Linked DNA regions of Lonchura striata. Each later gene encodes a partner of the first gene's protein in a complex. Links are inferred from orthologs where the notes say so. Each region holds a gene or a part of one and is shown in the gene's direction. Other genes may lie near its edges.

What was found.
Region 2: the proteins of NAA20 (region 1) and SNCA are in contact, whole or in part, in a cryo-EM structure (PDB 7STX), measured with the Homo sapiens proteins. The link is inferred for Lonchura striata from reciprocal best matches to the Homo sapiens genes NAA20 and SNCA. Residues at the interface, in NP_057184.1 of Homo sapiens: Leu23, Thr24, Glu25, Tyr27, His73, Val74, Thr75, Ala76, Leu77, Ser78, Leu110, Phe111, Tyr137, Tyr138, Ser139, Ala140; in NP_000336.1 of Homo sapiens: Met1, Asp2, Val3, Phe4.
Region 3: the proteins of NAA20 (region 1) and NAA25 are in contact, whole or in part, in a cryo-EM structure (PDB 7STX), measured with the Homo sapiens proteins. The link is inferred for Lonchura striata from reciprocal best matches to the Homo sapiens genes NAA20 and NAA25. Residues at the interface, in NP_057184.1 of Homo sapiens: Thr2, Thr3, Leu4, Arg5, Thr8, Cys9, Asp10, Leu12, Phe13, Phe15, Asn16, Asn19, Leu20, Pro22, Leu23, Thr26, Tyr27, Gly28, Ile29, Pro30, Leu33, Gln34, Leu36, Ala37, His38, Pro40, Glu41, Pro49, Glu52, Met54; in NP_079229.2 of Homo sapiens: Ser226, Glu227, Ile228, Asn259, Asp261, Asp262, Trp263, Gln264, Arg318, Arg321, Leu325, Lys362, Pro363, Cys364, Thr367, Asp368, Val371, Leu457, Thr459, Glu460, Leu461, Ser504, Ala506, Leu510, Leu532, Asp533, Lys535, His536, Ile537, Gln538.

The regions. Positions count from the first base shown.
Region 1 is NC_134611.1:4,011,032-4,020,448, reverse strand, and holds the start of NAA20 (N-alpha-acetyltransferase 20), read left to right. Parts: upstream 1-5,638; 5' UTR 5,639-5,764; coding exon 5,765-5,817; intron 5,818-5,948; coding exon 5,949-5,973; intron 5,974-6,061; coding exon 6,062-6,152; intron 6,153-7,387; coding exon 7,388-7,523; intron 7,524-8,468; coding exon 8,469-8,614; intron 8,615-9,417. Other genes in the region: RABGGTB (geranylgeranyl transferase type-2 subunit beta), read left to right, coding at 263-412, 2,297-2,437. UniProt on the Homo sapiens protein: Catalytic subunit of the NatB complex which catalyzes acetylation of the N-terminal methionine residues of peptides beginning with Met-Asp, Met-Glu, Met-Asn and Met-Gln. Proteins with cell cycle functions are overrepresented in the pool of NatB substrates.
Region 2 is NC_134606.1:53,436,695-53,447,245, forward strand, and holds the start of SNCA (alpha-synuclein), read left to right. Parts: upstream 1-6,540; 5' UTR 6,541-6,747; intron 6,748-6,788; exon of another isoform or gene 6,789-6,913; intron 6,914-7,204; exon of another isoform or gene 7,205-7,359; intron 7,360-7,789; exon of another isoform or gene 7,790-7,907; intron 7,908-8,137; 5' UTR 8,138-8,162; coding exon 8,163-8,283; intron 8,284-10,551. UniProt on the Homo sapiens protein: Neuronal protein that plays several roles in synaptic activity such as regulation of synaptic vesicle trafficking and subsequent neurotransmitter release.
Region 3 is NC_134620.1:11,681,058-11,690,615, forward strand, and holds the start of NAA25 (N-alpha-acetyltransferase 25, NatB auxiliary subunit), read left to right. Parts: upstream 1-5,620; 5' UTR 5,621-5,651; coding exon 5,652-5,709; intron 5,710-8,334; coding exon 8,335-8,420; intron 8,421-9,392; coding exon 9,393-9,531; intron 9,532-9,558. Other genes in the region: TRAFD1 (TRAF-type zinc finger domain-containing protein 1), read right to left, coding at 150-223, 435-698, 1,647-1,875, 2,871-2,924, 2,995-3,130, 5,032-5,081. UniProt on the Homo sapiens protein: Non-catalytic subunit of the NatB complex which catalyzes acetylation of the N-terminal methionine residues of peptides beginning with Met-Asp, Met-Glu, Met-Asn and Met-Gln. May play a role in normal cell-cycle progression.

The DNA.
Region 1 (9,417 bases):
AAGATGAAGTCTTTAAAAATCACATCTTGTGGTCTTGTTTCTTGAAGACGTTTGAAAAAGATACTTTCCCTTCCTGAAAACAGAAGTCCACTGTAAAGAGACGCTATCAAGAAATTCTTTTACTCCAAAGACACTCTTAAGTGTTGTGTCTCCACAAGAGTATTATGATAGTGCACCTGATAATGTGCAGAATTGCCAGTAAAATTTGCAGTGTTATGTTTGAAACCCAAGCAAATATTTAATCTTCCTCTCTGCTTGCCAGTTACCTGATGTATGTTACTCGTGGTGGGTGCTAGCATCTTTGAAGATGATTGGTAGGATACAGTGGATTGACAGAGAGAAACTGCGCTGCTTTATTTTGGCATGCCAGGATGAGGAGACTGGAGGATTTGCTGACAGACCGGGAGATATGGTGAGATTTTTTCTAAACAAAATACACATGAAAATTTCAACTCGAGATTTCAACTTTTGTTTGAGAGTAACTCTATTCATGGTTCAGGTAGGTTTTGCAGAGGCTGCAGTTTACTCTGAAGGAAGAATAGGGAAGAGTTGCCATTGAAGGCGTACTTGGGGAGTGCATTCTTTACAACACACAGGTATCCCCCAGTGAAGTCTGTTGCCATTCCTTACAAAATCTGGTTTGGTCCCCCATAACACACGCAACACAAACCATTTCTCACAAGACCATTTGGAAGATCTGTCTAAAAACACTCTATTTGGTGGTGGGTTTTCCAGTGCATGTATGGGTACTTTGGGTTTATTATTTTGTTTTGTGAAATGATCTGCAAGCTAAAGTCTGGTGTAGGTTAAATGGTCTTCAGCTCTCTTGTTGTTTTGTCTGATCTAATTAAATAATGAATTTTTATTTAGAATCCCTATACACTAACTTTCATTCTTTGCTAGCCCAGCCACTGAATGAGTCTTGTAGTTGACATTTGTCTAGCTGAGGAAGAAGCTTTTGAGATAACATCATCAAGAGGCTGGTGCTATGAATTTTTTGCTTGTTGAGAGAGAAGTTACGATTTAGCTGGTCTGTTCTCTTTGATTTCAAGTGGAACTAATTAATATTGTCCCAGTGAAATGGCAGATAAAGTTTTTATCTTTCAAGAATGCTGCACAGATAAAATATGAAGTGTTGTGAGACTTCATTCCTGTTGAACACTTGGCTTATTTTTAATGGTCTGGAAAGGTATTATCTGTTTTTATTGCAGCTGCCCATATCTGCTCCCTTCTCCACAAATGCATTCAAAAATAAAGTAACTTTATTTTTTTGCAAGCAGCTGCTTTATTCCCAGTTGGGGGAGAAATCTGTTAACGCCAATCTGTCATTTAGAAAGTGTTTTTGTGTTCTTAAAATAGGAAGAGTTCTGAGTTTCTAAGGAGCTTATGGGAAGACCTTTTCTGTTTTCAGAATTCTTGAAGAAAAGCCCGGAACTTGAAGTCTAAATGCTTTTCTAGCTTTGAGTAATGAAATATATGCATCTTCTTGGAAGAGCAACTCTGAAGAGGCTTTTCTCTATATCTAAGGAGAGCACCTTTGGGACAGCTTTTCTATGTTACATTAGCAGTAATTTAATATTATTCTTACCTGTCTTTGATTGCTGAAGTGTAGAAAATTCTACTTCTGTAGAAATGTTGACTTCCTGGTTTTTGCTTTATTCCTGTAGAAACTCAGTCCTAACAGACCTTGTTTTGGGGTATTTTGTGTTTGGGTTGTTAATTCATTTGTTTGGGGGCGGGGGGGAGGGGAGAGAGGGGTGGTGGTCTTAGGAGTAGACGTTTGGGGGGGTTTTGGTTTTATTTATAGCTGTGGGAGGTTTTCTGACATAATAGGTTGCTGCCTCTCTCTCAAGGTTTTACAGCACAGCTCTGTATTTGGAAACCAATAAAGAGCATTATGATATTTCTGAAGAACAAATGGGGAATTTATGGAAGTGGTACCTGTAGATGATCCGGTTTACTTTTAAAATGTTAATTATCTTTGCTTCTACCACCCTGTGATATTGCATGCTAATAGACAAATGTGAGTGCTTTCTATCTCAGAGATGAAAATTGTCTTAGCAGCAAATAGACAAGCATGCCTGAGTAAATCATCGTATTGTAAATACCTGCTATGGAAATTTCTTGCCTGTCAGGTCATGTTAGCACAAATGAAAGTGTATTTAGTTGTATTGTCTTTCCCAGAGAAGCTGTGGAGATTCTAATTTCTCTTGCTGGCAAATGAAAATTTCATTTCATACAAGTGAAAAACAAATCGACTTTTGGAAACAGACACAAGCTTTCTTTTTTCTTCCAGGTGGATCCATTTCACACCTTATTTGGTATTGCTGGACTATCTTTATTAGGAGAAGAACAAATCAAGGCCGTCAATCCTGTCTTTTGTATGCCAGAAGATGTCCTTCGAAGAATAAATGTACAGCCTGAGCTTGTAAGCTAGGTCTCATAAGAGACAAAAGATTTTTATGACCAATTGCTTTGGTTTTACTGATTTATAATCTCATCTGTGAAACTGTCAGCATATACTTCTTTCAGATGTGTTTACATTATGGAAGTAAAGCAGTAGCTTTGCTGTGGACTTTGTCACTTCATAAATTGTTTCAGAACAGGCTGGTTCTCATAACCTGAGTGTAACATGTTATTTGGTTGTATTCTAAGATGTGTAGAAACATTTCAATTCTGTATCTAAATGTATGGGCCTTGGCTTTTTTTTTTTAAATATAAGATTCAAATTAGAGCTTGACAGTGTGAATGCTTAACTTTTCTATTCCTGTAATATCAACCATGCTAGTACTGGTCTTCATACAGGCATCTTTTGATGGTGGATCATGCAGAGCACTTTAAAAAACCAAACCAAACAAACCAATAAAATCCTACCTAAGCCACACACTTAATACAACACACGTATTTAATTATTCCTCTTCACATTTGCCATCACTTTTCTCTGCTGAGAAACAGCTGCTTCTTTTCACAGTAATTGATACCAGTAATACCATAATTATGGTTCTTCTAAATATGCAGATGTCTTCATTTAATGATGAGTCCCTTAGACAAAATTCTACTGATACTTGAGATACAGCATACCTTGAGTATGTACAGTGAAAATTGCTAACATTAAACATTCTAGGGAAGGTCTCTGTTGGATGGTGACTTGTAATTGAACATAGAGTTGATTCTAAATCTGTTGCTGGGTTGAAATCCTGCTTTTGTAGCTTTTAAGACACTACTTGTCAACATTTGATTTTGGTGTAATTGAAAATAAAACTAGCTGTGGAAAATATTTGTTCTCTGAAGGGTGAAATCATCTTTGTCTTCATAGAAGTGCTAAAATTACCTCTTAATTTACACTCCACACATCCTAGCTGGGACTGAATGATATTCCACTTGTAATATATAGTAAAAGGTAATTGGGAAGGGGTAGAAGTGCGGGAGTTTGTAATTTTCCCTTCTTCCCCCATTCCCCCTTCCCCCTTCCCGCGCGTTCCCCCTCCCTCCCGTGGTCCTTTGTCCCATTCCTGCGTTCCCTTGACCTTCCCCCTCGCCACGCGGTCCGGTCCCTGCCCCGCCGCTTTTCCCCTCGCTGTCCCCGCGGTTTCCCTGCCCCTGTCCCCTGCCCTGTCCCATTGGCTGCGGCTCAGGTTCCCCCCGCCCCCGGCACGGGGTATAACCGACCCCCGGTCGCTGTCCCGGTGTCTCGGGGACACGCTCCCACAATAAACACGTGTCTGCACCCGAGTCCCGCGTCGCCATTTCGTCTGTTCCCGCGCTAGAACTGAGCCTCGCAGAGCCGAAGGGGAGAAAGCGGTGCCGCCTCTCTCCCCCTCCCGCTGTGTCCCGCCGGCGCCCGCCCGGAGTCGGTCGAGAACAGCAACAAGGAAGTCTTTAATAATCTCTGTACTTACATTTAAGTAAGGCCTAAAGTTGTTTCACCTGTACTTCACTCAGCAGAGATAGCCACACAAGATTTGACCTGCATAGTTTTCATACTAGCAGAACTATATATTGATGTGTAGTCATTTAAAATAAAAACTCAAACTCACTGAGTAGAATATGTTGGCTTATGCTACAATATTGGGAATTAATTTGATAATAGTAAAGACCACTCTAGCCATGACCAGTTTTTGAACCAATTTCAGTCACAGTAAAAAAGTGCCTTTTAGCACTTTTTAGTGCCTTTTTTAGCACTTCAGAAGCAAAGGCTTTACCTTGAGTACAGCAAAGCAGCCCAAAGTCCAGTTTGGCTGGAGCGAGTGTCTTAGCCACGACAGTCAAGTGAACGGTTGAGCTTTTTCTGTTCTTAAGGGTGTATTATATTATTCTTGTAGTTCTGCAGTAAAAGAGTGCCTCAAGCAGGAGAGGGCTATAAAGCTATACATTTCCTAACTCCTCAAAGGCTCAAGAACCAGCCTTAAAATGGTATATTCCATCTCCCACGTTTCATATATCCCTTCATACCTCCACCACAATCCAGTATCTTCCTGCTTCTGGCAACTCTGAAATCCCACATCACTTTTGCACCACAACTACAGACCTTGAATCAACTTTTTCTTACCAAAACATTGACCCTTAAATTATCAGAAATCTGACAGATCTCGAATCTGACAGGCTACACTCTGTTTGAAGTACCCTTGCCAGCATCTCATGATTATAAATTCCAGGTCAAGAAAGGCCTCTTTCATTGTCCCAAAACATGTACCCAAACTCCATTCACTGCATCGCATGCAGAACTTTAAAGGGCAAAAACCAAACCCGCAGTATAGCCTCCAACTTTTGGGCAAACCTTCCTTCACAATAACTAGAGTGATCTGGGTCCCTTGCAGTGATAACTTCAGAAATAGCTCAGCATTTGAATGGAAGTGAGAGGAATGGCACAGCAGGCCATGTGGAGTAGGTGAATGCTTATGGGCATATGCTTATGCTCATGGACATCTTGTTTCTTTGTTTTTTTGGGTGATGCAAGAGATGCTGTGCAACAGGTGAGTGGAGTATAGCCCACTACTGTGGACAGTATTTTTGTGGAAGAGGTCCATGTTGGCTGGCATGACCTCCAGCCTGTGTTTTTGCAAATCATGAAGAGGCACCTACTGCTGATGGCAGCAGCATCCCAGTTAAATAGGTGTTGTTCTTCTTGAGGATTAATTCTGACTCACAGCCCTCTGAAAGCGAAGTTGATGGGCCAGCGGTCTGAGAGGGCAAGGTGGAAAGACTGCAGGGTGGGACGAGCAAGGTGCTGAAATCAGTGGAGAGTGGTGAGGGGCGTTCAGCATCAGTGATGTTTTGGTGCTGAGAGCAGCTGTGGGATTCATTCCACATGAGGCGAGCATGTGCTGGGCACGGCAGTTCCAGTGTGTGTCCGATCTCGTCCGGTGGCATCTTTCCAGGTGCAGAGTTGTTTTTCTGCGTATGGTAGTCTCGCATACTGCGGTCACGTCGCGTTACGTGTAGCTTTGTGAGTGCTCGGGGTGGAGCTGCACAAGCTCACAGCACTCGTGCTCCTGTGGCCGCGCTGGACCCTGCCCCGCCGCGCCGCACTGCGGGCCGGCTCTGCCGTGTCCCCCAGGCAGCCCCGCCCCTTCTCGGCCCGGCGCGCTGCGGCGGGCTCAGGCGCGGCCGGGCCGGGGCGGTTCAGCGGGCGGGGACAGGGCTGCGTAGGGGCGGGGGCGCTGTCTGCCGCCTTTCCACCGCGAGAGCGGCTCCTGGGCCCGCGAGTGTTTCCGGGGCACTCGTCACTGTCGCGCTCAGCGTCAGCGTCGTGATCGCCATCATCATGACAACGCTCCGCGCCTTCACCTGCGACGACCTCTTCCGATTCAACAACATGTGAGCGCCGGCTGTCCCCTCTTCCTGCCCCCGAGCCCTGCGCGCTTCCCCACCCCGCGGGGTGCTCGCGGCGCCCCGCCGGCCGGCCGGGCCCGGGCCCATGCTGAGCGCCACACTCTCTTCCCCCACAGCAATCTGGACCCGCTGACCGAGACCGTATCCTTCCCACCGGGGCAGGGGCGCGGGACCGGGCGCGGGCGGCGCAGCCGTGGCGGCCGCAATTGCTCCTTAACTGAGCGGCCAGTACGGGATTCCCTTCTACTTGCAGTACCTCGCCCATTGGCCCGAGTACTTCATCGTCGCCGAGGCGCCCGGCGGGGAGCTGATGGGTTACAGTGAGTGCCGGGTGTTCCGGCGGTAACGTCTCCCTTCGTTGCCTATTTCGGGGATTATAACGCGGGAGCTTTTCTTCGCGTTTACCAAATGTCCAACATGGAAGAGGAACCTTGCGTTGCGTCTTCCCGTTTCTTAAATGTCTTAGGGTATTGTGCAGGACTCATGGCCGTAGCTTCCAGTTTGATGTTCCTAGCGCAGCGAGGAGCCTTTGCTGTGGTATCATCCACCCGTATTTGGTGAATGGGTATTTCTGTAATCTGAAATTAAGTCCCTACCCACAGTCACTGAAAGTGCTGGGCTTGGATTTTGCATTGCCCTGTAAGGGAAAGCTCTGGGCCTGGATGTCATTTGCTAATTTGCTGTGGAATATTTGTGTTTTTCAGAAATCATGCCAAAGAGAACTGCCAGGAGATGGTGTGGGACAGAAGTAATGGTTTTTGTAGGGACTCAGGAACTAAAAATATTTGACATACTAAAGCTGAAAGTATGTGTGCTGTATAGAACATTTCTCTGTACCCACCACACTTGTTGATTACTAGCAGTGACTGTGATATCTATAAAAGCACAGGGTGGAAGTGTGAATGTTCATTAATAAACTAACACTGGACTGGCCCAGTGTAGAAAGGAGAGAAACTAAAAAAAAGCCCCCCAAAACACCATCCCCACCTCCACTTTTTTTTTTGTTTTGGTTTTTTGGGGTTTTTTGGGGGGGGGTTTGGTTGTTTTTTGTGATTTGTTTTTTGCTTTTTTTTTTTTTTGTTCTCCTTAAACACGTTGGGTTTGTGAGTCTTAGCTTTCTATTGCCAGACCAGCAAAGCTTCCCAAGCTGTTTTCCCCCATAATCTCCAAAAGTCTCAAATAGTTGCTGGGATGGTAGTTTTGGTTCCTAGCCCTCTATTCCTCCTTTATTTCAGTCAGATCTTAAATTTTGGTTCGGTGAGACTTGTGAAAATTACTTAAAATTTGCATTTAGAAGTCACCTCAAGGAAGGAATTTGCAAACTTGTTTAGTGTTTTTTTGCACTAGTCAAAAAACCGCTGTAATATTTGAGCAAAATGACATTTTTAGTGGCTGCTGAATTTAGAGTGAAAAGGTAGACATCTCTGTTCTAGCCTTTCTCACAGTCATTGTAATGTGTGTTTTTCCATGGTTTATTCCTCTTGTGAAGCTGTCTGGCTGCGGGCAGTGCATTACTCCAAAGGTGCTGCTGTGCTGATGCTCTCTGTGTTCACAGTCATGGGCAAAGCCGAAGGCTCTGTGGCTAGGGAAGAATGGCATGGACACGTTACTGCTCTCTCTGTTGCACCAGAATTTCGACGGCTGGGTTTGGCTGCTAAATTGATGGAGCTCCTTGAAGAAATTTCAGAAAAGTGAGTAGTATGTCTATCTTAAATTCATCTTTTAAAATAACATTTAAAAGTAGTATTTCTACAGAAACCTGTCCCTGGTTTTATGTGGCAGAATTTTGCTTTACACGGTGTTCTGATTTTCTGAAATTCCTCATAGTTGGAGAAAAAGAGTTATGAAAGTTGCTTAGCAGTTTAAAATCTCAGGGTTAGCTAACTTGCCAGAGTGAGGAGGGCATAGCCTGAATTCCAGTAGAGATACCATATAAAAGAATATTTCTTTTTACAGGAAAAGAGCTTTGTGAAATATCAGCACTGTTTCCTGTAGGTTCTCCAACATTCTTGTTCAGTAACCGTAGGCTTTGTGCCTGAACAAATTTTATACTGCAAAGAGTATCTTAGTTTACTTGCCATCCTGTGCTTGATTACTTGTACCTGAGAAAATTTAATTTAGTGTCAGATGAATCCACTGAGAAATGTCAAATGTCCTTAACTGATTTTGGTAGGGCAACCCCACTATGGTTAGTTCCATACTACTGAAAAGTAGCATGATGTTTTGAAAAATTTGCCTTGTGAAATTAAGGGTCTGTCATCTCCTGTTAGGCAGCTGAATTTTGTGACTGATTCCACTCCTCCTAATCCAAGCCATCTAAAATGTGGACACTTTCTAAATTGTATTTAGGCCTGTGAGTGCATTTAACTTGTCTTGTTCTTTCTGATCAAATTTCTGAACTCACTGCCTGATGTAGAATGGCCATGTGACAAAAATAAAATTAAATCCTTGTCTATAATTGATTTTTCCCTTGGTAAAGGAGCATATCTGTTATGACATTGGCAAAGGTGTTTAATTAGTATACTACATTGGACTTGCTTTGGTTTCATTACAATTTATGGGTTGTTACTTAGAAATGCATTTACCTGCCGTTTCTTAATGTAGTTTTGTTTGTTTCTTTTCCTCCCCTGCTAAAGAAAGGGCGGATTTTTTGTCGATCTCTTTGTGAGAGTATCAAATCAGGTTGCTGTAAATATGTATAAACAACTAGGCTACAGTGTGTACCGAACAGTCTTAGAATACTACTCAGCTAGCAGTGGGGAGCCAGATGAAGATGCTTATGGTAAGTTCTTGTTTGGTCTCAAATTGAATGGAACTATTCTCATGTTGAGGGTTCCTGGGCTTGTTTGTAAGACTATTACTATGTTTTATATGAAGCATATAGAAAACCATGAAACAATTTCAGATAGTTGCTGAATAATGGGCTTTTTGTATCTTTTGTATTTTTGTAACTTTTCCTACTTAAGATTATATCAGTTACAAAACTTAGTCTTGCTGTTTACACATTTTGTAGCATCTCTGGCAAAATCAGCTGCAGAACAAGAATACCTGAGAAGGAATTTCAGTGCTTTCTTCCTTTCATCCCATAACAGGGACTTGAAATTTTGTTTTTCTCAGCTATCTACCTATAAATTAACAATTGTCAGCATTCAGCAATGGCAAAGAATTGGGTAACATTTTCAATTTAAAAGGGAAGGAACATGGAAATTCAAGTATGTTAATGTTAGTTATGTTAACAAAAGTGAACTACCAGTTGCTTGTTCTTTCTAGGTCCTTTTTTAAATTATCTTCCCAAAGGGTTACATGGCCAGGCTATGTATTGTTTCTGTTCTTGCACTGTTTATTTGATATGTAGGAGCACTGTGAAATACAAAGGCTCAAATAGGCACCTGCCATTGCTGCATGTGACTTAAGCCATATATTTGTCTCTTTAGCTTGTCATTTCCTTTCCATTTGGCTGAGTTTCATGCAGTGCTTTATATCAATTGCTGTCATTGCCATTGAGCAACATTAAGGACAGCAGTGTGTCCTGCCAAGATGGTGAGATGTCTCAAGAGCAAGATTTAGGAGGAGCAGCTGATGTCA
Region 2 (10,551 bases), on another chromosome or scaffold:
CTTTTCCTTTATGAGATGTCTACTTTCCTTTAAAAATTACAGAAAGAAGACAGTTTGATAGAATGAAGTATGCTCCTGTTTGGGTTTTCCACCTGTTCAAACAGTTTTCTGGTAACTAACTGTAGTATCTAATTTAAGCTGCTGCCTTCCTGGTGCATCTCTTGAGAAATGCTGCCATCCAGGTAATTAATGTGCTGTGCCTGCACTGGCTCAGATGCCTATATTTGCAGTAGGCTACTTTAGAACATGCTGTCTTATCTTTGACCTTGGAACCATCAGGTGCTGGCTTCTCAATCAAACAGAACTTTGTATAAGACAGATGTTAGACCTGACTCTGGCTTGGTGGTTTCCACTTTTTTAGTATTAGCATTTTCAGTTATATGAGGTGCTGATAACACATTGCATCGCACATGAGGAAGGTGATTGTTTCTTTCAGGTAAAATCAATTTATTGGTGCTATGCAGCTTGGCCTATTCAGTCTAGAGAAAAGGAGACTGAGGGGAAACCTCACTGCAGCCTACAACTTTCTTGTGATGGGAAGAGCAGAGGTAAAACACTGAACTCTTCTTAGTGGTGACCCATGATAGGACTGAGGGAATGGCCTGAAGCTGTATCAGGGAGATTTAAACTGGATATTAGGAAAAAGGGTCTTCACCCTGCGAGGGGTTTTGCACTGGAACAGGCTCCCCAAGGAACTGGTCATAGCACCAAGCTTGACAGAGTTCAAGAAGCCTTTAGACAATGTTCTCAGACACATGGTATGACTCTTGGGGATGTTCCTGTGCAGGGCTAAGAGAAGGACTCAGTGAGGTCCCTTCCAACTCAGCATATTCTGTAATTCTGTGGGAAACATCTTAAAGAATAATCAACACTGATTTTGCCAGACACCCTTAGGTCAGCCTCATCTGGTTGTCCCTGAGTAGAAACATGCTGCCAGATGGCTTCCTTGGCACTCAAGATACTGCTTTTCAGAGTAAAACTTTGCTAAAGGTTTCAGGTGCAACAGACAGAGTTTCTGCGCCCTTTAGGGCTGAATTTCTAGCCCAGAGAGATTAATTAATGAATGAAATGTCACCATTGCTTATAAAAGCTGTGATGGCTCTGTAACTTCACCATTGACTGCAAGTGAAAGAGAGGTAAATGTGTGGCAGGTTCTGCCTGTACAGAGGTGTATAAAGCTGTGAGACCCTTCTGTCTGGTGATTAGAGTTGTGTCAAGATTAGTATAGCTGAGCTGAAATCCACCAGATGAGGGACATACATCAATCTTCCTGAAATATATGTATATGTACATCTGTGTGTGTAGGTGTGTACATACATCCAAGTACTCCAATACAATATATGGATGTCATATTGTCTATATCAGTTAAAACGTTTGTGAGGAGTTCTATTTGCATCTCTTGGCAACAGATAGTGGACATCCAATAGCCCAGCCCACAATAACCCATCACCCAGTTATAGCTATCAAAACAGCTTACAAACAGAAATCTTTGCAATGGGACTGCTGCATAATAACAAATATTAATTTTAAATTAATAAACTGAATGCTTCCACTGGGAAATTAACTCTGATGTGGGTTGATTCTTGATTGTATGAAGGCTTTAATACATGTGCTTAACTTTCAGTGGAGTAAACATCATGGGAACACCATGTTTGCTCTGGAGTGTTAAAGTACAACACTTATGAGCATAAGAAAAAGATGTTTTGCTAAATCTCAGGCTTACCTGTAAGCAACAATGAAGTCATCTTAATATTTTTTTTTCAATTGAGTGTATTTTTGAGTTCTCAGAAAGGGGCACACAGGTAGTTATAGCATGGTCAGTAAAGACGGCAACAGTTCCCAGAGGGAGCTGAATGGGAATAGAAATGCAAACGTGATGCAGGAGTCTAGGAAACTGATCTGAACTCCTAGTTGCCTCTAAAGCAACCCATATAGTAAACTATTCTGTAAGAAATCCAAACACTAAACTATATGTGTGTAAATTGTTCACAGTTTCTCACAGTTAATGTACATATCCAATGAAGACCATTTTCAGATTATCTGCTCTAGCAGCCAGAGGCCCTGCAAGGCCTCCCTGGCGGTCACTTGCCTAAGATAAGAAATGCCCAGTCATGATGACTGGACCAAAGAAGTCCCTCTTCCACCTTTGGACTCTCATTACCTCTCTGTAAGGCCATATTTGCCTCGACCCTGGCCATTGGACCATTTCCAAAACCCCTGCACCCTATATAAACCTGCATTTCTACCCAGTTCAGCAGAAGAGCTGTCACTGTCACCTTCACAGGAGCTGCCAATAAAGACACTTCTGTGGAACCTCATACAACCTTCAGGAGAAGGCTTCTCTCCCTGTGTTTGCTGGGGCACCTTAGCAAGCAAAGAGCTGAATCCTGAAGAGCTGAATTCACCAAAGAGCTGATCTCACATAAGAACTGAGCTGCTTGCTAAGATTGCCTGGGGATGGGAGCTTGCCTGTGGGACCTGGACAGGTTGTGCTTAGCTGTACCTCGCTATCTGGGACACCTACAGCAGCCAGGGTCAGATAGACCCCAGGAACCCCAGGCTGTAATTATTGGTAGAAGAGCCTTGAAGCAGTGTAATCAATGTGAACTGTGAACACAGTGCCCTAAGACAGCTTCCCTTCATACTGCAGCTTTCAGGTTTTCAAAAGTACCTTTCGTCTGAGGTTTCGTTATAGTTTGACGCTGGCACAATGCCAGTGCCCCCATGAAAATGTGATCCCTCCCTTGAATGCTGTGAAGTGGAATCTAGAACAGAGCAAAGCAGGGCCAAGCTTAATAACAGAAAAAAACTTTATTAAGCTACTACTACAAAAGAAAAAAAGAAAGGAAAAAGGAAAAAAAAAAGGCACACAAAGATAAAAATGAAAACCTTGCAAAGCATTCCTCCTCCCACCACGCAACTCCAACAAACCACAGTGAGACACAATCTGGACCCCAATCAGGTTTCCACCCTCCAGACAATCGATACTCAGCCCCTTCGAGGGAGGCAGGAGTCTCTCCTGTGCCACACACCCCCAAAGAAACACAGCTGGAACATCCTGTGTTTCCATGTCACACGTGGCACTGCCCGGAGAAAAGTTTGCCATGGTGACCCTTCTCCTTTCCATGTACAGTGCTCTCACCACCAATGCATGGATGGACAGACTGCTTTTAGGATTTTTCCTTTCAAGGATGCCTTGCCAAGAGGGGAGAAAACAACAGTTCAGTTTTTCTTTTTTTTTTTTTTTTTTTGGACCACAGTCCCCCCATTTTCCCATTTTCCCCTAGGGCCGAGGGTCCAAGAACAGAGATCTTCTTCTCTTATCTTTCCTTTTAAGACAGGGGCACCACCACAAACCCCCTAACTTTTTCTCTGTTCACTCCACTTCTGTCTTTTCCCAGCTGAAGCAGGTCTCTTGACTCACTCGCATCTTCCCAAAATACAGTCTCTCTTGGAGGAGAAGATTAGTTCAGTTTGTGGCTATATGGAAAAGTCCAGCCAAAAGCCACTCCTTGTCCCCCTCCCATCTAGAATTCCTCCTTCTAACATCCCAGGGTCCAAGGTGTCCCTCTTCCTCTTTTTCAAACTGAGGAGGGGAAGGAAAAATTCACAAAGCTTTAATTTCTCAAAGAAGGGTTAAAAGTCCGAACTCCCAGGGATGGCTCAATGCCCAGACTCCGGTGGCTCCCACGCACTGGGCACCTTGCAGCTCCCCCTGCTCCTCCTTCCTCACGGTGGAAATGCTGACAAAACTGCCGCTGTCTTTTTCTCTCTCTCTCTCTCGGGAGAGACACTCTTGGGGGGGAACGGAGACATCCCAGATTTCTTCCACCCTTCCATCTGCAGGGGCCAGCCCGGTTCCAGTCCTTCCACCACCCTTGGGGCCTACCTTTCAGGCCATGGGGGCTTCCCCTCCCCACACAGCCACGGCTGGGCAGGGGAGAGGCTGCACTGCGTGCTGACCGGAACCAATAAGAGCGAGTTCCCCTGGGAATTCTGCTTTCAACCCCTCTGTGTTCTCAGAGGCGTGTCCACCTTCAATTGGTCAATATCCAAATTGACCTCTTCCTTCCAGAAAAAATTCTCTTTCCGTGTCAAACCATGACAATCACCTATCAGTCCTGTGGTACACAGGGAGTCTGTGTGAGTCAGTAACCCAAAATCAGTAAATTTGGATCAATTTTACTCTGCAACCTTTTTCAATTGTCCATAATTGTTCTTTTCATAGTGATAAAGTAGATATACTTGATCACTAGCAACTAAACTAATAAGCTAGCCTGCAAGGCAAGATGAAGTAAAGAAGATTTTAGTACTACTTAATTGATTTTTGCTTTAGATGATCATGTGAAGTAAACAGTGTCATTAAATAAAGAATTGTTTTAAATGTGATCAGTGGGCAATCTGTTTGCTACTATCCTTTCTTCAGACAGAAAAGGCTTCAGGGGAGAGCTTGCTGTGATACTAATAGTACTGAAGAGACAACCTAAAAAAAGCCCCAACCAGCTCTTTAGACAATGTTTAAATAGGAATTGCCTTGGATATACAATGTCCATTCTCTACCATATTTAATTCTGTTTTCCACCTAAGTCCCATTCATTTTCAGAATGAAGAATTTCGTGTGTCAACATTTGTACTCTGTTTTTTCTTACTATGCCTCTTAACCAATGATTTAGAATTTAACAGCTGCCTAGTTTGAATCCTACAGCTGAAATTTTAAGCTTTACTTCTACTGTGGCAACTGATCCCTCTTGCCTTTACCTCTCTATTTCTAGCTGTATGATTTTGTTAAAGGACAAGCTGTTACTTTGTTTAACAGCAAAACATAATGCCTGTCTTTGATAAACATAAGGCAAAAAAAAGACTGCTTGCAAAAGCTACGAGTTGCAAATATCTGAGCTCTTCTTCCTAAAGTTTTCAGAAACAGAACCATAAATATACAAGGTTGTTTATCATACAGGATTATCTGTTCCTCCAAACATAATTAAATACAATAAGTCTGTGTAGATTGATGTCAGCATAATAAAAAACAACATTTCATACTCATAGTCACTTGCATGGAAAAAGTAAAGCCTTCTTTAAATCTGGAAGATAATAATTATATAAGGAATGTGAGATTCGTTTTAATTCTAATTTGGAGTCTAAGTTTTCTGCTCAGGGTAGTATAAAATGACTGACTGAAGGGTTTTCAAAGAGCCAATTTACATACTAAGATACACAAATTGGGCCAGTTAACATGTGCAAAGAATATGATTTTGATTAAATTTTATTTACTGTCTGGAACTGTACTTACTGTCCTCTCCCTAAAATAGGAATAAAATAGAAATACCACATCTAGCACTACTAACTACAAATGTGCTGCACAGGATCAATGAGGTGAGGTACCTTATGTAATTCAATTTCTAGGCTTTTTTGAAGGTTTTCTTGATGGCAGAATGATGAGAAAATTATTTATTTGTATACATCTGTGTATTACCAGTCTGAACACTGTTACACAAAGAAATAAAATCTGTTGCCTAATGCTTGGTTGATTAAAACTACTAGTAGAATGAAACAAAATAAAGTGTACCAAACAATACAGAAATATTACTTACAAAGAAACCTGACAAGAACAAGACCCTGCACTACATGTTTAGCATGAGAACCAGGGATGCATCAGCTGTCTGCACGGGATGATGGATGAAAGATACTCCTTGCAGCTCACAACCTGGTATCATCCATGTTCTGTTTCTCCTTTTGGAGTGCAATAAAACCCAAGCTGTTTCTGTAAGTCTTGCAGGATTTGAATTGATGTACTGAAACTGAAGGTCCATCTGTTCTAGTGCCTTGTCTCCTACTGGTCTTGGCTTTTCATGCTTAAATTCTGTGACCAAAATAGAGAAATTTGATAGGTTTCCCTTTCTGGGGAGAAAGTGACTTTTCTGCCTGAGTTTAAGATTTGGGTGGCAGTGGCCATGGATTGTGTGGAGGAAGATGCAAGCAACGGTGTAAGGGTTGGGCAAGTCTGGCCGTACTTCTCTTCATTTGGGATGAATACTCTTCTGTGTGTGCAATAGAGTTAAAACTCGAATTACACCTGCAAGAGCACCACCACCTCCCGTGCTTAAAATGAACTGGAAGCATGAATGTTGTGAGAACAGTGACATTGAACTGCAGTCATACAAGGTTGAAGATTGGGAAGTAGATGAAAAAGAATTAGAAGCTGGGGGAGATTTTGTAAGGCTTTGGTGAAGTGACTCGGGGCTGTGCCGCAACAACAGCTTCCTTACACTTCTAAGATGAGGCTCTCCAGCCCTTGGAGGGAGTGGTGACTGTGCGGAGTCCCAGGGGGACCAAATCGCCCTACCCACCTTTTTAACCCTTGCTTCTCTCTCCAGAAGGCCAGCAAACAGGTGCTCCCAGTTTATCACGCCTCCCACCGCACCGCCGCGCAGGACGTGACAGGGCGGGCGCAGGGGGCCGGGCCGGGGGCGCATCCTCAACAGGGAGCAAGAGCCGCTGCTCCTCCCCGCCGCGGCTCATCCTCCCGCCCCCCGCCCTCGCCTCTCGCCGCCTGCGGGGCTGCCGCCGGGGTGGTGCCAGCAGAGCGGGCGGGCTCCGAGCCTTGGGATGTGCTGAGCAGGGGCCGCTCCGCGCCTCGCTCGCCCGCAGCCGCGCCGCCCCCGCCTGTCGGAACGGGTCGCTCGCCGGTGGCGGAGGAGCCCGGCGGTGAGTGCGGGCGGGGCGGGGCGCGTCTGCACGGAGCCATAGGTGTGTATCTAATACCAGAGACAGCTGGATAGATCTGTCCCGTTGCACGTTCCCGTGTGGGCACGGGGGAGGGAGGAGGAGCCGGGCGCCGTGTCCGCCGTGTGCCGACGGCGTGTCCGCGGGAGCCCGAGGGTGCCCATATGGTCGCGCCGCTCTCCTTTCCTCGGTAGGTGCCTCGCCGCGTGCATGTATTTATATGTTTGTGTATGTATAAGCTACATATATGCGCACATACGCCCTGCTTCCTCCCTCCTCCCTCTGCAGGTGCCCATGCTCTTTGATGCACACCCGCGGTCCCCCGGTGCCCCCGCACCTGGTCGCGGCACTGCCCCGGGGCCGGGCCTTGGCACCTTGCCGGTGGAGGAGCCGAGGGTCCCGCGGGCCGGTGCTGCCTCCCCCGGCGCTCTGTGCAAGGCACCCACCCCCCTTCCCCATCCCCAGGGCGGCAGGTACCGTGGGCAGCTTGGCTGGAGCACAAACGCTGCCTTCCTTCGCACGGTCGTCACGAGTTAGTGGAAAGCTGCGACGTCCTCAGATGCCTTCCTAGACATGCATTCCTCCTACTCAGCCTCTGGCAAAGAAGAGAAGATAACAGGCAGCACTCATGTCTGTGTGGGTGGAGGAAGAGAAAAGATGACTGATAATGGATTTGTTGGAGGGACGGTGATTCTGGGTTTTAATTACTATTTAAGTGGTTTCGGTGTAGTACTGGATTGTATTGCTGTGATAGGACTCTCTTGGTAGCTTTAGTGCAGTGCTTTTAACATCCTGCGTTCTTGCTTTTGCTTTTTAGTAAAATATTTTCTCAGTTGTGATGCATGCAAGGAACCCATTCAGGAAAACTCAGTTTCCAAAAGGTTGATGTGGACTGTGTGTAAAATGCTGGACTAATGGAAATGCAGCATTTTTAATTTTCTCCAGTCCTGAGTTGTAATGCCATTTTCTTACAAGTGAACATTTGTCATTTATGAGAGGTTTTGATTTATGTGTTTTGGTTTTCAGTTTGGTCTGTTTGTTTTTAAGTTGCTGATGTTTATTTAAGTAGGCTTTTTTCTCTGGATGAGAGGTGGAGTGTCATCAAATCACAAGACTAAATCTTGCATTCAGCACATGAACAGAACTGTCCTTTGGGAGAAATGATGACTTCATAGGCAAGGAAGGTACTTATCTCAATGGAACCATCTTCCAGTCAGAACTCCATTATTGGTAACCTCTCCATAGGATTCTGTGGAAATGGGATATCTGTTTCATATAGCTATACAATTTGGGTGGTATAAATAATGTAATTTAAAAGTAATTGTGATCCCATTTGGTTAGAATATTTTTCCCCTTTCTGGGATAAAAAACCTTACTGAAAGTGTGTACTTTTTTTCTTTTTTTTTTTCTCTAGAGCTGTTTGAAGAAAGTCTTCAGCCATGGATGTGTTCATGAAAGGGCTTTCCAAGGCAAAGGAGGGAGTCGTAGCAGCAGCAGAAAAAACCAAGCAGGGTGTGGCAGAGGCAGCAGGAAAGACGAAAGAGGGAGTCCTGTATGTGGGTAGGTGGGCAGCAGAGAGCACGCTGCTGATTGGTGCACCCCAACATTCACAACTGGATCCTCATCAGACCCCTTCTTCTGCAAAAAAATATTTAATTGCTCATAGGAGACCATTGCAAAAGAAACAAGAGGAAATTTGTGCCTTCTTGAGCTCTGGTTCTTTGAAGCCAAGTGCCTTACAGTACAGGTCATTGAGTGGTATTACATGCAAGTCTGCCAGATCAAGGCTGAAGGGGTGGTTGGTACAGCAAAAATAAATATGAAAAAAATGTAAAAGCTGGAGGTGAAGGTAGCTCTGTAATGTTCTACAGAGCATGTGGGACTTGAACAGGATTTCAGGAGGAGACACTTGAGAGGTTAGCTCAGGACTTGTGTGGTAGACATGCCAACTGCTTGGTATGTTGACAGTAACATTTTGTATGGCAAAGTGCTATCTTTTGAAATTAATTTCATGTTGTGTAATTGCTATTGCAAATTCATGGCAAAAATTTTCCATGACTTCTCAAGGAAGTGCCTCTACAGTTAATGAGGTAGCGCAAGTAGACCCCAAAGTAGCAAAGCAGTTGTTAGTGTCTTATTCTAGGCCAAACTAGTATTCCATAGAGCCTGGGATAAAATTATTTTCAAACCCTTGAGTGGTACTTTCATTCAGGGTAGTCATCTTCATTTAGCAAGCACTGAGCTTTAGAAGAGTGTCTTGCAAATGCTGTCATGAAAAATGAACAGAAAAACAATCTGTCAAGACTATATATGAGTAAGTGGTTATTTATAAAAAAAAATTATGGCTCTGTTTCTCTTATTCATCAAATAAAGCTAGTCTATAAAAGAATGGAGGGGGAAAATATAGCCTTTTCTGTAGGTCATTTCTGTTGATTTTGTAGCAAGTCAGTTCTGTTATGGGAGATGTGCTCACATAACAGAGAGAAGTTAAAACAGAGCTGAAAACCAGAGTCATTTCTTTTCAATGGGAGTACTGAGGTCTCTGGTATTCCAGTGCCTTTTTTGGATTCCCTCTTGCAGGCTAGTGCCAGTCTGTAAGAAATTATTTCTGCTCCAGATAGTGTGGACTACTCATTTGGAATATACTTCCCTCCTTTTAAAGCCATAGCAAAGCTCAGTGCTCTTGCCAACAGGGATGGCAATCATTTTGAACACTAATTGCAGGATGAATCTCTTTTAAAATAAGTATCTGCTCATTTTCAAGACAGCAAAATAGATGTTCTTCCACTGTATATTGTGCTTGATGTTGGAATTATTTTCCAGAGGTAGAACTTCTATTTTGTTTTCTTGTAGTCCTGGCTATGCTTCTGGGGTCATTGATTTTTTTTTTTTTTTCGTATTAGAAACCTGCATTGTGTGCTAAATTAATCTTTGTTTCTGACCTGTTCTCCAGACCATAATAACATTTGAATCTAGTTCTGTTCCCGAAGGCAACAGACTTGCTGTTGTCTTCAGAGACACTTTTGCTGAGGTTGAACGTTGGAGAGCAGGCTTGCTATTTTTTGCAAGAATTTCAAGCAATTGCTGGTGACCACAGAGCCCTGAGCTATGATAGGGACTTGTGCATGTAACTGTAGTAATGGTTGGAGGATCCTTCTCCCAACAGGTGTCTCCTTTCCAGGAGGCAAGAGCTATGTGCACAGTTTGTTGTACAGGCAAAAGAGCCTTTGGTTGGAAGCTGCCTCTAGAAGCTCTGGCAGCTTGTGTCCAGTTGTGTGCTCACCCATACAGGCATGACATTTCAACAAGTTCAAATAGGGAAAGGAGGATGTTTCTCTGTCTACTTCCCAAGCACTCAGCAGAGTTGTCTCTTCCCCTGTGCAGCATTAGCAAAGGCCAGTGTGATAATCTTTTGTTCCACAGGTTGATAATGATTGCAGTGCAAAAGGTGGTGAAGGCCCTTTATGAGCAGAGGAGAGAAGCAGCACAATTCATTAGAGTTCATTAATACTTCTCACTCCCTTGTTCTATAGTTGGGTTTTCAGATTTGAGATTCACAGCCAGATTATGCTGTGAAAGCTGCCTGACATCTTGCAAAAAAGAACCTAACCACACTGGGCTGAGTGGGACCTGTTAATCATTTTCAGTTTCATAACATTCAGCCTCCAATTGCTGGTGGAGAATTAAGAAGATGCAGAGTCTTTGGTCCAGATCGCCTAGGTGATATGGCTTCCCATTGAAATCAGTGCAATTGAAGTAAATGTGGAAAACATCTGGACCTTTATATCTAAGCTGCTCTTAACTATTATGTGTAAGACTATAGCCTAA
Region 3 (9,558 bases), on another chromosome or scaffold:
ACAAACAACACAGAAAAATCACCTTTCCTGATGAGCCAGGTGGGCACTGAAAACCACTTTCCTTAGCAAAGACCCAAATGCCAGACGTCTCAGTGACAGCCACAGAAAAGCCTTCACTGCAAACCCCAAGACACGAGGAAGTCTCAAACCTGGTGAAGGATCAGATCTTCAGCAGGACACAGTTCCTCACAGAACTCACAGGGCAACATGATCATCTCCTTGTCTGCAAGAGAAGGAAGGGTCCTGTCCTCTGTGGGCTCTGGTAAAAACCTCCTGCTGCATCATTGAACCCTGTGGTGCCATTTCTCCTCTCACAACAAGCTGCACTCCAGGATTCCCCCCAGATCCTCCTTCCCACCATTCTTACTTCCACAAAAACCTTGTTCCCTGCCCCTCAGATTTAAGGATAAACCCCACCACAATCGTGTTTATACCTATTTTGCTGTGGTTTGATGTGCTAAAGGACCCTGGAGAGTCACAGGACAAGATGTTGGACAGGTCTGTTCCATCAAGATGGGCAGATTGTCCAGGCTCTTTGGTGTAGTCGTATTCCCAGAAATCCCTGGGAATGTCAGCTGCAGTATCATGGTGAGGATTATTCTCACTTTCCAGGCTGAGAGCCAAGACATAGTCCAGGTCAGCATTCCAGTCTTCAGGAAGTTGGGAATTAAGGATTTCGGGTCTCTCTTGTTCATCTCCTACGAAATACAAATACTGTAAATTCGGGAGAACATCAAACCAGCCACCAACAGCTCCCCCTGGACATCAGACTCAGCCCCAGAGCTTCCCTGGAGTTCAGCATCTCAAAGCCAAGGGCACCTCCAACAAATCCAGGAGGATGGAGAAAAACCCAAATTTTAGCCCAAATTACAGGGAGCAAACAACTCCAGTTTAATTTTTAAGCCAGGTACTTTGAGACAAAAAAAAAAAAAAAAAAAGAAGCAACTGGGCTTTTATCCCAGGCACCTCATTCCATGGGTAAACATTTCCACCTGGAGCCTCTGGAGCATTCACTATCCTGTATTTTCACAGAAAGGAACCACAAAACCTCACACATAGACCAGCTACAAAAAGCAGCCAGTTCTTCCTTCCTTTGTCCACTTAAGGGTTCTGGTCCCTTAAGAGTCTGTTTTTAAGGGTTCTGGTTAAGATTCTGTCCTTAGTGGTTCTGTCCCTTAAGATTCTGTCTGTTCTTAAGGCTTCTGTCTCTTAAGGTTCTGTCTTTAGGAGTTGTGTCCCTGCAGTTGTGTCCCTTACAGGGTTCTGTCCCTTAAGATTCTGTCTTTAGTGGTTCTGTCCCCTAAGATTCTGTCTATCCTTAAAGGTTCTGGTCACTTAAAATTCTGTTTTTAAGGGTTCTGGTTCCTTAATTCTGTCCTTAGTGGTTCTGTCCCTTAATATTCTGTTTTTAGGAGTTGTGTCCCTGGAATTGTGTCCCTTTAGGGGTTCTGTCCCTTAAGGTTCTGTCTTTAGGGATTCTATCCTTTAAGATTCTGTCCTTAGTGGTTCTGTCCCTTAACATTCTCTCTTTAGTGGTTCTGGTCCCTTAACATTCTGTCCTTAGGGGTTCTGTCCCTGGAGCTGTGTCCCACAGCCGCTCTAAATCTCCTTTTCCCGCTCTGGCTCTTCCCAAGCCCCTGCTGTACCTGCTCCGTGCCGGCCGCTCCCGGCTCCGCGCTCCCCGGCGGGGGCCGGCGCGGTGCCGCCGCAGAGCCGCGGGTGCTCCGGCAGCTCCCGGCGCAGGACGTTGCGGCCGCAGCGCCCGCAGGGCTCGGTCCGGGCCCCGCAGTACAGCTCGTGCTCCTGCAGCTTCTTGAAGGCCAGCTGGATGTCACAGAACTGGCACAGCACGGGGCGCAGGGGGCACGAGGACGCCTGGGAAAACACACGGGGTTACTCTTCCCAGGGAATTTCCTCAGCCACTTCCAAAGGAGGAACCTGGAGCAAGCTACGATGTGGGAATGCAACAGTGATGTGCTGGAGGCACAAACTGGGCAGCTGAAGCTCTTCAGACACTCAGGATGTGATTTCTGGACTTGGGTTTTAGATACGACCCAAGATCCAGTTGCATTCCATGAGCACAGCTAAAATCCACACTCGTTTTTAGGGAACCAACTCACACCTCATTTGCTGCTCAGCAAGAACTGCTTGGACATGTTTTTCACCCCACACTGAACCCCCTTCAAAAGGGGTTAAAACTAAATTAAATACATTATATTTGCAGATGCTGCACTAATGACCAACCTGCACTAATAAAACATCATCATTTGCTTTATAATCCAGAAGAACCACATGCAGGATTAGCTACTCCCAGGGTTTAGAACTGGACAGATTTCCACAGAAAATCCTTTTTTCCTCAGCAATCAGCAGGCTGAGGTGGCAGCTCCAGAGTTGTCTCTAAAGGAGCCCACAGGAAGGGATAACATTTATAACAAGATTGTCTGTGACAGCAGCCAACTGGATTCAGAACTCAGAAAATCCCACTCTGGCCTATTTTAGTTTATTTTACGGGCTATTTTTAAAGCCTGTTTGGACAGATTGAGTTATTAGAAGTCACATAATGGCTTCAGGAGAAACATGAAACAGTAAAGGAATGAAAAAAAGTCAAGTCAATCATACTTTAAATAGCTATTTTTCAACTGACAAGGACAAAAAACTCACCAATTACCACAGATACCCCTCTGATATGAAGCCCTGAGAGGCTCCAGGACTTTAGGGCAGTTTCCAATCCCTTCTCCCAGAGGGTGTGAGTTCAGGAAGCATCACTCAACAAAAGGATGTACAAACCTGGATGCTGGCATCCAAAGGCTCTGGAATCAGTGAAACACCAGAGCATCCCCCAAGGGTTCAAGAATATAAAATCCACCAACCTCGTGGTCCTTTAGGAGGCTGCTTTCCATCTTCATCCTACATTTGCAGGTGACCTACAGCAAAGAGACCTCATTAGGGGAATTTCCACAGAAATGGCAGCTTCAGAGCAGAGATGTCTCTCACCTGCACATGTTCAGAATCAATGTGGTTCTTCATCTCAGACTTTGGGATGGAGTCGCTGCAGTAGGGGCATATTTCAATATTTCTTCTACAGTGGATTTCATGGATGATGAAATTGACTGCAGGAATATCCTTTTTGCTGTGAGAAAATTGCTAGAGGTTACTGAGCAGAAACAAACTGACAACAAATACAAAAAGTTGTTCACAACAAAAAGATAATGCTAAGAAAGATTTCAATGAATTCACGGCTAAAAGTGATTAGAAAAAGGCCCAGCCAGGCCTCAGGTTTCCAGCACAGGTGGCTATTAATGTATTTAACATGCAAAAGTCACATTGCATTCAGATAAAATCCAGGTGGATTTATTTCCTTATGTGAAAGGGAAATCTTGCAGCACAAACAAGTAATCACCAGGGATCAAGTTAATAAATTAGTCTGAGAAGATAAAAGTTTCTTCCTGAAAGTAACTTGGCTCTGAGAGGTCAAACAGTGCTTTGGAAAGCAAACAGTGCCTTTTTTATGCCTGACAGATCCTGTTCCAAGATAATGGAACCATGGAATGGTTTGGGTGGGAAGGGACCTTAAAGCTCACAGGGACACCTCCACAGACCAGGCTGCTCAGAGCCCCAGCAGTAACAACACTCCTCTGCACCCCAAAACTCCCCAACTCGCCTCATTTTGCTCCAAAATTCCCCAATTCGCCACATTTTTAATATGCTCGTTTTCTGTCTTGAACCCAAACACAAAAAGACCAAAAGGAACTGAGGCACCTGGAGCTCAGTCCTTACTCCCGCCTCAAACACACAGCATAATTTCTACACGGATCATGCCCTTTCCAAGAAATCCACCTTGAAAACACCTAAATTAATTTTATAACCTTTTGTTTGCTAAAACCACAGCTTTTCTGTCCCCTGCCAGATGCCAGGCAGCCAAAAGCCTGGCAAAGCAACGAAGTCCAACAGCAGCGACTGACCAAACAAACCAGGCTTATGTTGCAAGAAAATGTCTGGATTCTCATGTCTCTTGGGGAGAAACAACTACAAAAAAAGTTTATTTCTTTATCTGCTTGAATTCAACACACAACTTGTGAAGTGACTCCTTACCAGCCACTGGGCTCTGCAGAAAGGAGTAATCAAAGAAAAAAACTTCCACAACAACACTGACAACACTGCCTACTGATCCTATTTTCGCGTTTCTCCTCCTGAGCCGCGGAACCGCTGAAGAAAAAACTTGGAATCGTGTATTTTGCGCGGGCCCCACTGAAAAGCGAGCCTGGATTTCCATCCGAATGTTTCGGTTTCTATTTCAGTTCCCTACTAAATCAGAAGGGAAACGCGACGCCCTGGCGCTTACGGGAAAGGCCCTACGGTCGTCTCCGGTGTTTCTCCGCCTTCCAAGGAGCTGCACCCCGATGTGCCGGCGGGGTCGGCTCGGCCCTCAGCGAGTGCGACCCTCAGCGACCCCGGCCCGGCCCTCACCGACCCCGGGCTGTCCCTCACCGACCCCGGCCCGGCCCTCACCGACCCCGGGCTGTCCCTCACCGACCCGGGCTGTCCCTCACCGACCCCGGCCCGGCCCTCACCGACCCCGGGCTGTCCCTCACCGACCCGGGCTGTCCCTCACCGACCCCGGCCCGGCCCTCACCGACCCCGGGCTGTCCCTCACCGACCCCGGGCTGCCCCTCACCGACCCTGGCCCTCAGCGACCCCGGGCTGTCCCTCACCGACCCCGGGCTGTCCCTCACCGACCCGGGCTGTCCCTCACCGACCCCGGCCCGGCCCTCACCGACCCCGGGCTGTCCCTCACCGACCCCGGGCTGCCCCTCACCGACCCTGGCCCTCAGCGACCCCGGGCTGTCCCTCACCGACCCCGGGCTGCCCCTCACCGACCCCGGGCTGCCCCTCAGCGACCCCGGCCCGGCCCTCACCGATCCCGGCCCTCACCGACCCCGGGCTGTCCCTCACCGACCCCGGGCTGTCCCTCAGCGACCCCGGGCTGTCCCTCACCGACCCCGGGCTGTCCCTCACCGACCCCGCGCTCACCAGTTGCCACAGAGGCGGGACTCGGCGGCGGGCACGGCCGCGATGGCCATGGCTCCGTGCGGTGCCCGCTCCCCTCACAGCCCCGGGCACCGGGCCACCCGCCGCCGCCTCCGACCGGGGGCGGCACCGGCGAGAGCGACAGCGCGGCCCTGCGGGGACCGCTCGGGGGGCGCCAGGCGCGGGTGTGCCGGCCTGCTGAGGGAGCGGGTGGCGATCTCCGAGTCGGTCGGGTCGGGTGAGATCAGGTCGGTGCCGGTGCCGGTGCCGGTGTCGGTGCCGGTGCCGTTGCCGGTGCCGGTGTCGGTGCCGGTGTCGGAGCCGGTGCCGGTGCCGGTGCCGGTGCCGGTGCCGGTGTCGGTGTCGGTGCCGGAGCCGGTGTCGGTGCCGGTGCCGGTGCCGGCGCCGGTGCCGGTGTCGGAGCCGGTGTCGGTGTCGGTGCCGGTGCCGGTGCCGGTGTCGGTGTCGGTGTCGGTGTCGGTGTCGGAGCCGGTGTCGGAGCCGGTGTCGGTGCCGGTGCCGGTGCCGGTGTCGGTGCCGGTGCCGGTGCCGGTGCCCGCCCCGCCCCGCCCGCCGTTGCCCGCCCCCGGCCGCGGCTGCGCGCTGCGTTCTGCGCTCTCATCATGGCGGCGCGGGGCCATGTGCAGGACCCCAACGACCGCCGGCTGCGGCCCATCTACGGTACGGACCCCGCGCCCCGCCGCCGCCCCCCGAGCCCCCCTGCCGCCCTGCCGCGCTCCGGCCCCGCGGGGCTGCGCCCGCCCGGCCGGGCCGGGGTCCCGCGGCGCCCCGGGGTGCCCCTCGGCCTGGGGGGAGCGCAGCCCAGGTGACCCCGGCCGGAGCTGTGTGCGCTGCCGCGGGGCAGCCGGCATGGGTGAACCCCCGGGGGAGCAGCCGCGGGTGCCCCGGAGTTGTGTTGGTTGGATGTTGTGGCACGGAGCGGTGACGCTGTTGGGGGAGTTAATTGGGAGGCGGGAGAGAAGTAGAAGGGGACGGTGTCGTTGGGAGTTGTCCGGCGTTGTTGTGTCCCCCCCGAATGTTTCCGAGGGTGTTCTGCGCTGTTGGGGTTGCTTCGGAGGTTGTAGGCAAAGCTTGGCTCTATGCAAATATGGAGAAATAAAAGGAAAACGCTTCCCCGGGCTACGGTATCGTTTCGTCCCTAGAACTGAAGATTTGATAGAGATTGAGGAAAGCGTTCTTAACTTTTTCAGCAGGGATGGAAACCGTGGAGAGCTGCCCTGGTTTGGGGCTGGACGTGCTTTGGGATGTCCTTTGCTGGGGCAGAGGGATGGTGCAGTACAGGCTGAGTCCGTGGTGGGTTCCAGGGGAAGGGAGCAAGATGGGTTTGTTCGATTAGAGGTGTTCAAGTTCGTTTGTCTTTATGTAACGATTTTAAGGTTTTTTCCCCCCTTAGTTTTCCATCCGTGTTGTGATTGGCAGTTTCATTGACGTACAGTTGTTCTTGTCGTAACCTGTGTAAGAAATGGTTCTAATATAAAAAGCTGAGTAAATTCAGCTGATACCAAAGCAGGTGATGTTGAGCATCTCGCTGCGTTCATTTTGGAGAGAGCTTTAGAATTCCTTTCTGCTCGTTCTGGGAAGGATTCTCTGCAGTGCAAGATTTGCTCTCAGGCTGTGGTGCTGCAGAAACCAAAATAAAGCGTGTGATAAACGCACACAACTTCCCCTCCTCAGCAGCTGGGGAGGTGCACTGTGAGGCCCAAGGTCTGCCTCTGGATTTCAAGGTGTGCCTGGGTTTGTGCAGTGGTTCCCCGGGATTCCTCGACAGCTCTGGTTCTCTTTGATCTTGACATTTCTCCCTTCACCTGAAGGTTCAGGTGGTGCATTTCCAGCCTTTGAACATCCCCACCTATGAACTAGCGCTGGCTGAAATTTATTTTCATTTAGCTTCATTTCCTTTGGAAGCTGCTTTGACTTCCAGAAACCTGACTCGTTAGGAAAATACAGTCTCTTCATTCTGCTGTGTTTTTGGGAGGTTTGAGGGTTATTTGATTTACTTTGGAACACCCAAAGCTGAGATGTTCTTGGCACAGCTGTTAATCCCAGTCAGGCAGCTCAGCATGAGGGATAATTTGTGTGTCACTAAGCTGGGTGACAGAGCCTTAAAGCAAGAAGCCTCTGATGTGCTGTTCCACACCTTTGAAACCTCTTCACTGAGAAATCCCCAAAGTTTTAATGTTAGAGGTTCCACAGAGGTTTCCTAAGTTGAAATTTGTGGCTTCAAACTGGATTTCATGCCACAGTGTTTATTTTGGTGAGTGTGGAAAGGCTGACTAGTGAGAGGTTTGCTGTGGATGGGCTCAAGAGCCCAATTAACTCTGCTTTAAATATGCAACATCCACCTGGCCACAGGAGCAAATGTGGGAGCTGTTTAACAGAAATCTGTGAATCAGAATAGATGCACAATTCGTGCTGAGGATTACCCTCAGTAAAAAAGTTCTGGCTCATAATGGGAATGACAGGTTTGGCGAGGTAAAGGTGTGTGATGTAATTTCAGGTAACTGGCAGGAGAGAGCTCAGAGCAGTGTGAGCAGCCCCTTCCTTCCCTTGGCACATGAGGGGCAGCAAAGTTGGGTTAGCTGAGGAAAGAGAGATTTTTGAGGGAAGGGGAGCATATAGGGGTTGTGTCCTGGTCTAAAACTGCTTGTTTGTAATTGTGTAATGATGTGAAGATCAATCTGAAAGTTGTGATTCTGAGCTAAAAGAGGAGAAAATGGTCTGGAGATAGTGGGATGTCTCCCTAGGAAATACTAATGCTTCACAATTGTGCCTTCAAAACCAGCCTGGTGGAAGGGTAGTGGTACTCCAGGGGGACAGGTTTGCTCTGCCTGTGAGGTATGGATGCTGTAGACAAGTGTTTCCCACTTTGCTGGTGTGTATGTATTTGGTTTCTAACTTCCTGCCTGTTAAAAGTCACTGAAAGTCTCCCAAAGACACACCAAATTAATTTCTACTTTTCCTGCTAAAGCACTGGAGCTGCACTGCCAGCAAAGAGCTGTTGCTGCAGAATCCTCTCTATTATGTGTCTCTTTTGTTGCTGTAATGATCTGTGTGGAGTAATTACAAAAGCTTGTTTGTTTGAGTGACTAAAACCAGTACAATGAGATGAATCCTTCATCCCTGAAATGACAGTTTCCTGAATGTTTGGCTTAGGAGAAGCTGCACAGGGAAAATGTGGTTTTTGCTGCTGGTGTGACAGCTGATGCTCCATGGTAAAATTGGAGGTGGCTTTCCAGAATGGCCTTGGTGTTCTGGTGTGATTTTGTGTGTGCTCTTCCTCTGCAGATTATCTCGATAATGGCAATAATAAAATGGCAATCCAGCAAGCAGATAAACTGCTCAAAAAGCACAAGGACCTTCACTGTGCCAAGGTGAGTGGGACTGGGGGACACTGAGCTCGTTCTGCCTGAGTCTCGGGGTGTTCCACTGTCCCTTTCTCCGGGAGCTTCCACAGTGATTTCTGAGCCCTCTGGAATGTCTCTGTTCCAGCTCATCTTGTTTGCCTGGAAATGACCTGATAGGGACTGGAGTGTTGGTTCCACCTGGGCTGATTGTCAGCACCACTCCAGGTGACCTTGGCACATGGGCTGGGATTTAAAAATGCTTCTTGGAGTTCTGGGGTTGGGATAGCCATCTGCGGGAGTTTGGATCAAAACATCTCCTTGGGAGGAAATGTCTGAGGAAGACATTACAGGTGTCCCAGAGAAGCTGTGGATGCCCCATCCCTGGAATTGTTCAAGGCCAATTTGGGGAGACTTGGTCCATGAAAAATGGAGCTGGATGATTTTAAGGTCCCTTCCAACCCAGAGCACTCCAGGATTCCATGATTTTGGAGGCATTTGCTGTTTTCCTTGTCCACCTTCCTCGCTGTGACCCTGTTGAGGGAAAGGGATTCTGTTCCTCCCTTTTCTGAACGTGTGACTCTTTCTGCTTTTCTCATTTCCCTGGGGGTTTCCTGCTGCAGTTCACTCCACTTCTACATTTTGAAAGCTTCCCAAGCTGCAGAGAGTGTCATTGACCTGATTCTCGTTTATGTCACTTCTCTCTGGCCAGTTAGTGAAAGAAAACTAAGGAAAATTGCCAGGACAGGTCAGTTTACAGCTTCCAGGTAGAGAAATTATGTGATGATACCTCGGGGCAACCTCAGCATTTATTAAGAAGTCAGATCCCCTCTTTGATGCTGTTGCATTTGGGAGTTTTCCTGTCCAGCCATATGGATTAAAAGATTAATAAATCCTGGAGTTGTGCAGAGGGAATGAGGTGCTTGGGCTGTTCCCAGCAGGAGCGAGAGGGTTTCCAAATGCAGACTGTGTCTCTGAGAGCTGCCTGTGTTGTGTCCACAGGTGCTGAAGGCCATTGGCTTGCAGAGGACTGGCAAGCAGGATGAAGCCTATGCCCTGGCACAAGAAGTAGCAGCACTTGAACCCACAGATGATAATTCCTTGCAAGCACTGACCATTCTCTACCGGGAAATGCACAGACGTGAGTTTGTTCCTCTCCCAGAAATCT